2 linked regions of the Oryctolagus cuniculus genome follow. The main gene of each other region encodes a partner of the protein of the gene in region 2 in a complex. Links are inferred from orthologs where the notes say so. Each region holds a gene or a part of one and is shown on either strand. Other genes may lie near its edges.

Region 1 (4,296 bases), on a different chromosome or scaffold from region 2:
GGAGACCCAGAAGAAGCTCCTGGCTCCCGGCACAGCTCTGGCCATTGCAGCCACTTGGGGGGTGAACCAGCAGATAGAAGACCTCTCTCTCTCTCTGCCTCTCCTTTTCTCTCTCCAACTCTTTCAAATAAACAAATCTTTAAAAAGAGAGAGCGAGCGAGCGAGCACGAATTCATGGAGCCAGCACTGTGGCACAGCAGGTAAAGCTGCTGCCTGCAGTGCCAGCATCCCATATGGGCGCCAGTTCAAGTCCCGGCTGCTCCACTTCTGATCCAGCTCTCTGCTGTGGCCTGGGAAAGCAGTGGAAGATGGCCTGAGTCCTTGGGCCCTGCACCTTTGTGGGAGTCCCAGAAGATGCTCCAGGCTTCAGGCTCCTGGCTTTGTACTGACCCAGCTCCCGCCACTGCAGCCATTTGGGGAGTGAACCAGCAGATGCACGACCTCTCTCTTTCTCTCTCTACCTTTCTGTAACTCTGCATTTCAAATAAATAAATCGTTAAAAAACAACAACAACAACAAAACAACAAAAAACTAGTCTTATTTAAGAGTCCTGGCTGCTGGCTGGCGCTGCGGCTCAGTAGGCTAATCCTCCACCTTGCGGCGCCGGCACACCGGGTTCTAGTCCCGGTCGGGGCGCCGGATTCTGTCCCGGCTGCCCCTCTTCCAGGCCAGCTCTCTGCTGTGGCCAGGGAGTGCAGTGGAGGATGGCCCAAGTGCTTGGGCCCTGCACTCGCATGGGAGACCAGGAGAAGCACCTGGCTCCTGCCTTCGGATCAGCACTGTGCGCTGGCCGCAGCGGCCATTGGAGGGTGAACCAACGGCAAAGGAAGACCTTTCTCTCTGTCTCTCTCTCTCTCACTGTCCACTCTGCCTGTCAAAAAAAAAAAAAAAAAAAAGAGTCCTGGCTGCTCTGCTTCTGATCCAGGTCCCTGACAATCCACCTGGGGGAGCAGCAGCAGACGGCCTGAGCACTTGGCCCCTGCCACCCACAGGAGACACCTGGATGGAGTTATTGGCTTTAGCCTGACCCACCCCAACTACTGTGGCCATTTGGGGAGTAAACCACCCAGGAAGATCTCTGTCTGTCTCTCCCTGTCACTCTGTCTTCACTGTCACTCATTATTTATTTCAAATAAATAACCTTTTCAAAAAATAAGAGAATTCGCTGCATCACAAGACAACGGTGACAGCAGGGCCCCGGAATACAATTTTGTAGGAAGCACGGGTTCAACCGAGCAGTGGTGGAATAATAAAAGCAGCAGCAAGCCCACCTAGTCTTGACACACCACGGCCACCACGCATGCGCAGAAAACAGGCCCTGCGTCCAGCACAGCGCTGGAACCCAGGCACCCAGGCTCCGAGCGCCCGGCCGCGGCCAGGCCGCCCCAGCGCCCTGCGGTCACACGGAGGGCGCCCCTCGCCGCCCCGCAGCCCCACGGGCGCCCTGAGGAGGAGCCCAGCAAGGACGCCATCCCCACCTCGCCGTCTCCGGGAGCGAGACTCTAAGCACAGACCCAATTCTGCAGGCCAGGGGGCGGCGACCTCACCCGGCGCAGGCAGCGACTCCCGGGCCCGTGGACAGCAGTCATCGCCCAGCCCGGCGGGGGACGTGCTCCCCGCCCTGGAGGGGTCGCTGCACGCCCGCCGCCCACCCCGGGCTCCCGGGGTCCGGCGAGGCCCCGCCCCGCCCCGCCCCCGCCTCGGGGACCCCGAGCGCCGGACCTGAGGGAAAACCCCGCAGCTCGTCCGCGGGAACGACACGCAGCATCTCGCGGGTGACCCGGCCTCGAGGCGGCCCGGGGAGACCCCCGCTACGCCCCCCCTGAGCCGCCGGGCCCGGAGCCGGCGTCTACACCTGCCGCCCACCCGGGGCTCCCGGGGTCCCGCGAGGCCCAGCCCCGCCCCCGCCCCGGGGACCCCGAGCGCCGGACCTGAGGGAAAACCCCGCAGCTCGTCCGCGGGAACGACACGCAGCATCTCGCGGGTGACCCGGCCTCGAGGCGGCCCGGGGAGACCCCCGCTACGCCCCCCCTGCGCCGCCGGGCCCGGAGCCGGCGTCTACACCTGCCGCCCACCCAGGGGCTCCCGGGGTCCGGCGAGGCCCCGCCCCGCCCCTGCCCCGGGGACCCCGAGCGCCGGACCTGAGGGAAACCCCGCAGCTCGTCCGCGGGAACGACACGCAGCATCTCGCGGGTGACCCGGCCTCGAGGCGGCCCGGGGAGACCCCCGCTACGCCCCCCCTGCGCCGCCGGGCCCGGAGCCGGCGTCTACACCTGCCGCCCACCCAGGGGCTCCCGGGGTCCGGCGAGGCCCCGCCCCGCCCCTGCCCCGGGGACCCCGAGCGCCGGACCTGAGGGAAAACCCCGCAGCATCTCGCGGGTGACCCGGCCTCGAGGCGGCCCGGGGAGACCCCCGCTACGCCCCCCCTGAGCCGCCGGGCCCGGAGCCGGCGTCTACACCTGCCGCCCACCCGGGGCTCCCGGGGTCCCGCGAGGCCCAGCCCCGCCCCCGCCCCGGGGACCCCGAGCGCCGGACCTGAGGGAAAACCCCGCAGCTCGTCCGCGGGAACGACACGCAGCATCTCGCTGTGAGCCCGGCCTCGAGGCGGCCCGGGGAGACCCCCGCTACGTCCCCCCTGCGCCGCCGGGCCCGGAGCCGGCGTCCACGCCGGCCGCTGGAAGGCCAGGCAGCCACTTACGAAGGAGGAGAAGGACGGGAGGAGGATCCGAAGGACATTGCACCCGAACACGAAGCTGAGCACCAGCAGCCACGCCCAACGGTCGGCCTCCGCCGCGCTCATGCCTGGCGCTCGCCGCCGCCACAGCCCAGCCGGCACCACGCCGGCGGCCGCGCCTGCGCGCTAAGGCCCGCTGCGGCGCGCGTGCGCACTGCGCCGAGGCGAGCCATTTTTCGCGGTACGCCCGAGTGCAGAGAGCGGTAGATACGGTCCCACCGCTCCCTTGGCCTTCCGGGCTTCCGTAGGCACCTCGTGCCCGCCGACCGCTCGCGCTGATGCAGTGTGGACCTGTTGGTTGTCGTTGTCTGGGAGCTATTTATGTCATTTAATTAATACTTTCCCCAAGTTGACTCACGTTGATTCCTAAATGTAAACTTTAAGTGGAAGACCTCGTAGTAGCAGGTGACTGGAAAAGGCCCTGGCCTAGCCAACTTCGCCACAGCGCTGGTCCCGAAAAATAAGTTTATTGATGGGAAGGCGCTGGTTATCATCTGCCTGTAGTATAATTTTGGACATCAGGCTTTGCAGTTTACACATCTCCACTCACATTCACGCACCGGGGATAAACTGAAAGACATTTAGCCACGGTTGCATTGTGGGAACTAGTTCCTGCCCAAAATGGTGCACGAAGTCGTGGGTCCACAACTTTGTTGCGAGGGAACCTGACGTGCAGGCATTTAATAACAGCGGGACGGATTCTTTCCACGAAAGGGCATCCTGCTAGGAGGTGACCGATGAACCAACCAGAATAAAGCGAAGGACGGGAGCCTGCCTCTGCTCCGGGCCTTCTCCTGCCGCTGCAGACGAGACGGGGTCAAGGGCAGCTGCTCCCGTCCTCCCCCCTTGCCCCAGTCCCTGAGGAAAACCCCACCAAGTCCCACCCACAGACCCCAGGAGGACAGGCCACCTCACTCCGGTTGGTTGGTTGGTTTCTAAATTATTAACTTGAAAGGGAGAGTTACAGAGAGACAGAGAGAGACAGAGAGAGAGAGAGAGAGAAGGAGAGAGAGGGTGAGGGAGGGAGAGGGAGGGAGGGGAGGGGGGGAGAGAGAGAGGGAGAGAGCGAGAGCGAGCCTCCACCTGCTGGTTCACTACAGAGAGAGAGAGAGAGAGAGAGACAGAGAGAGCGCTTCCACCTGCTGGTTCACTACAGAGACAGAGAGAGACAGAGAGAGAGAGAGAGAGCCTCCACCTGCTGGTTCACTCCCCTAATGGCTGCAGTGAACGAGACTGCGCCAGGCCAGAGGCAGGAGCCTGGAATTCCACACGGGAATCAGGGGCCCAAGGACTTGGGCCGTCCTCCACTTCCTGCCCAGGCACATTCGCAGGGAAGCGTGTTGGAAGTGGAGCAGCCAGGACTCGAACCGTGCTCACGTGGAATGCTGGTGTTGAAGAGTTAAAATTGTATATGTGCGGGTGTAAAAAATTAAGCTTAAGCTTACAGGTTTAAACCTTCCTGGTACAGCTGTAAAAATAAGACAGAGTGAAGTAGCACCTTGACAGTAGGGACTCCATTTTGGAGCACTTGAGACTCCATTCTGGGAAAGCACCCCCCCCAC
Region 2 (3,971 bases):
CTGAGTTTCTGACTCACAGCTCTGGGCCCAAGCTCAGCTCTGGTCCTTGAGGCATTTTGGGGAAGAACAAACAGATGTAATCTCTTTCTCCCTCTGTCCTTCTACTTCTCAATTACATTTAAAAAATTTTTCAGGGCCGGCGCTGTGGCACGGCCAGTAAAGCCACAACACCAGCAACACCGGCATCCCACATGGGTGCCAATTCGTGTCCTGGCTGCTCCACTTCCAATCCAGCTCTCTGCTCACGCTCCTGGGAAAGCAGTGGAAGATGGTCCAAGTGCTTGGGGCCCTGCACCCATGTGGGCGTCTTGGAAGAAGCTCCTGGCTCCTGGTTTCAGCCTGGCTGGGCCCTGGCCATTGTGGCCATGTGGGGAGTGAACCAGCAGATGGAAGATATTCCTCCCTCCCTCCCTCTCTCTCTCTCCTCTCCTACCGTGTAACTCTCAAAAAATAAAATATAAAAGCATTCATTATAAGCAATTTGCATATTCCATGAAGTTAGCTACCAACCCAGTCTTTTCCTTACCAAGTATTTGCAAACGAAAGCTCGGACTGCAAGAGCGAGGAGAGCACATCCCACCAATCTAAATATTCGAAAAGAGTCAAACTCCTCTGCCGCGCTCCCGTCCTCCTGACTGGGCTTCTCGCTGGTCAGCTGCCTCCGCAGCTTCATTGCTTCCTCGAACCTGGAAAGGTACTGCTCCAGCCCGTGGCGAGAGGCCCTCTGCACGGCGTCCGCGGCCAGCTCCCCTCTGCTGCGCAGCCGGAGCTCCAGGTTCAGGTCGTCGGGGCACTCGGGCGGCGGAATCAAAGAGTCCAGCGCGTCCCCCCGGACCTCGGCCGCACTGCCGTGCTGGTCCACCGCTCCCGCACCAACTGAATCGCCCAGCACCACGCGCTTGGAGACGGAAGGAATGCCGAGGGCGTTCAGCCTGTCACCGTCCTGCTGCTTCGATTTTGCTTGGCTCTCTTCTTCTGAGGAGAGAAATGTAAGTCTCATGTATTCCATACAGGCGAACACTACACGTTAATATTTTAAAATAAGCGGCTGCAGCTAGAACTTGGCAGTCTCTGAAATGAAATCCACACTGACTGTGCATAAAACGAGAAGTGGTTCCTCCCTCCACACCCTCAAAGCCAGCCGTACACAACAGCTCAGCCTTAGCAGGAGGGGCGAGGAGTGAAATACAAACGGAGAGCCGGCATGGAGCAAACTGTTCTCCCTGCGCTTCCTGGACAGTATATCCCACAGTTCCTGCTCTAGTTATCTGGCTGAATACATAAAATCATCAAGCCTTCTAAAAATCAGTGTGTGTTTGTTTTTTCTAGCTCGAATGTTAAGTTAGATTTTTGAATCCAGAGCTCTATGAGCACAGGGTGTGGCCTGTCCCCCGGCCACTGTTCACGGGTCAGGCAGCCACAGTGTGTCCACACACAGCCTTAAGACCCTGCCATGGCTTTTCTTCCTAAACAAAACCTATAAAGATAAAAATCTCAAAGCAAAAGAAGAAAATAAGAACGCATCTCCAAGAAAGATGATGAAGAATGCTTTGGGAGAGACAAGCATCCTAACGTCGAAGGAGAACTGTTCTCCCAACCACCGTTCTGGACAATTCGGAAAGGGGCTCTCCCTCCCCAGGAGTGTGTCTGCAAGCTCGGAGCCACACTCCATCTCAAACCTCCCGGGATTCAGGAAGAGCTAGGGAGCTCGCAACCAAAAACCAAAGGCCGATTACTAAGAGAAATGCTGGACGGAAACCTTCCCACTCGCGAGCTAAATGATTCGTTCTATTCACAGGGAAAAGGATTCTTTAAGAAAACACCTCGACACCCTCTTGGGGACACTGCTCCAGGTCTCAATGCAAACCCAACCTCAGTCACACCCGTCTCAACGAACAAGGACAGCGCAGCTCGGTGGGCGCAGCGCACCTGCTGGTCTGACTTCTGGAAGGCCTGGAGCTGAACACAGGCACTAGCTGGGGTGGGGTGGGGGGGTCTTTCTTCCATGAGAGCCATTTGAACATCTATAACATCATTTGTGCGCCAAACAAAATTATCAACTTAAAAATCAGCCTGCCACAGATGGACTGGACTTCCAATCCCGCCTGCGGCGATTTCGCGGACCTCAGGCCGGATGTCCCCCAGCCCCGCGTCTCCGACCCACCGCGGGCGGCCCAGGGGGCAGAGCCGACCAGCGGGTGTGCCCGACAGCAATTACACAGCAAACGGCAACACAAGGCGGATGCCAGGGAAAGCCCTGGAAGCAGAGGCACCAGGAACGGACAGCAGGGGACATCCTCCCGGGGGCACCGCGGGCACAGCAGACCAGGGAGAACGGCCGTCTCCAGGCTGCCGCCCGCAGGGACCCGCAGCCGTCGTGGCAGCGACCCCGGACTCAGGCAGGGGGACGCGCGGCAGGGAGAGGCCAGCGAGACGCAGTGTGGGGGCAGGCAAGATGACCCCGAAGATGCCAAGCAGTCGGCAGAACACTGCGGGGAAACGGACGTTCTCACCCGCGCCGCTCCCGGGCCTGTGGAAACCCATGATGCGGTTGATGCGCTGTTCCGAGTTCATCAGCAGCTTTCGCCGCCGCAGCTCGGCCCGACGCTGAGAAGCCGACATGCCGGACCCTGCCGGGGCCCCCGGTCGGTCCCCGCCGTCGGCAGCGACGGTCACCGGCTCCATCCGCCCATCCATGGTCTGCAAGTGGCGGCGGCGGCGGCACGGGTGAGTTCGGGCAGGGCCGCACGGCGCCCCAGCCCGTCCCAGCGTAGACCCGCCCCCCGCGCGCGGGGCCGGGACTGCGGGCCGAGCGCGCCCGCGCCGCCCGATGGGAAGGTGCGCGAGGCTGTGGCCGCCATTTTGAATGAGGGCAGCGCCTGTGGTCCAGGACGGCCTGCCTAGCATTCCGCTGACGGCTGGTCTCCTCTCTTCTAAAATTAGAGATAAACAAAATGGTCCGTAACCTGGCGATGTGGAAAGAGATGAAAGTGACGAAAGCGATAGGCATATAGGTCACAGGTGCCAGGAAGCAAAATGGAGGATGCAGCTTCAGGCGCTTTTTTGCAGAACTCCTGCGGCCTCGTTCATTGGACGCAGGAATACGAAAATTGGCGAACGACGATTTAGAGAGGAATTTTTTCTCGGGGCTGACTCTGAGTCCCTTCAGAATTTGCTCTTCTCTCGAGTGGGCTAGTTCTCATGCTTTCCTCACGCTTTTTTTTAAATAAGACTTTCCCTGCGATGTCTTCCCTGTCCGTACTGTGTGAATGATCCACGCTCTTTAGTCCTTTCTACCCCTTTTCTCCTTTGCATGTACAGCCACCTTGTCAGGTGTGCTGAGTGTTTGTCGCCTGCGTCTCACCACCTGAAATATAAGATGTGTGAAGCCCCGCAGTGAGCTTTGTTCTCTGCTGCGATTTCTATACCGATGTGGATGCACGTCAAGGCCTCCGTGAGGCGCAGCGGCGCAGGCCCTGAATGGGAGGTTTGGGGGCGCCCGAGACTGTTTTTAATTATGTATTTTATTTATTTGAAAAGCAGGATTAGAGAGAGAGAGCTCTTCCATCCGCTGGTTGACTCCCCACATGGCGGCAAGGGTTGAGCCAGGAGCCGGCGCTTCAGACAGGTCTCCCAGGAGCGGGGCCCGAGCACTTGGCCGTCTTCAGCACCAGGCCGGGCGCCGCCTGGACTGGAAGCGGGGCTCCTGCACCCACATGGGCGACATGGATGGTGTTCCAGGCTCCTGGCTTCAGGGCGGCCCTTTCTCTGTAACTCTGCCTTTCAAATAAATAATTTTTAAGGAAAAAAAAAAGCGTCTTTATAAAAAATTACTCAAGTAGCTAAGTAATTTTTCCCTAACCGTAATATCAAAGTATTTATGTTAACTTTTGGTACAGCTATAAATACTCCAAAACAAAATATGCAAAATCATCTGAAATTAGATTTCACGCTGCTGGCTACTCGACTGT

Evidence for each region. Proteins that work in one complex are often made in the same cells at the same time.
Region 1: CAMLG (region 2) and GET1 share a complex: the UniProt entries of both Homo sapiens proteins name them as parts of the golgi to ER traffic (GET) complex. The link is inferred for Oryctolagus cuniculus from reciprocal best matches to the Homo sapiens genes CAMLG and GET1.

What each region holds. Positions count from the first base shown.
Region 1 is NC_091435.1:5,740,511-5,744,806, forward strand, and holds the start of GET1 (guided entry of tail-anchored proteins factor 1), read right to left. Parts: upstream 2,801-4,296; coding exon 2,699-2,800; intron 1,993-2,698; exon of another isoform or gene 1,978-1,992; coding exon of another isoform or gene 1,723-1,977; intron 1-1,722. UniProt on the Homo sapiens protein: Required for the post-translational delivery of tail-anchored (TA) proteins to the endoplasmic reticulum (ER).
Region 2 is NC_091437.1:22,958,826-22,962,796, reverse strand, and holds the start of CAMLG (guided entry of tail-anchored proteins factor CAMLG), read right to left. Parts: upstream 2,801-3,971; 5' UTR 2,698-2,800; coding exon 2,514-2,697; intron 976-2,513; coding exon 527-975; intron 1-526. UniProt on the Homo sapiens protein: Required for the post-translational delivery of tail-anchored (TA) proteins to the endoplasmic reticulum.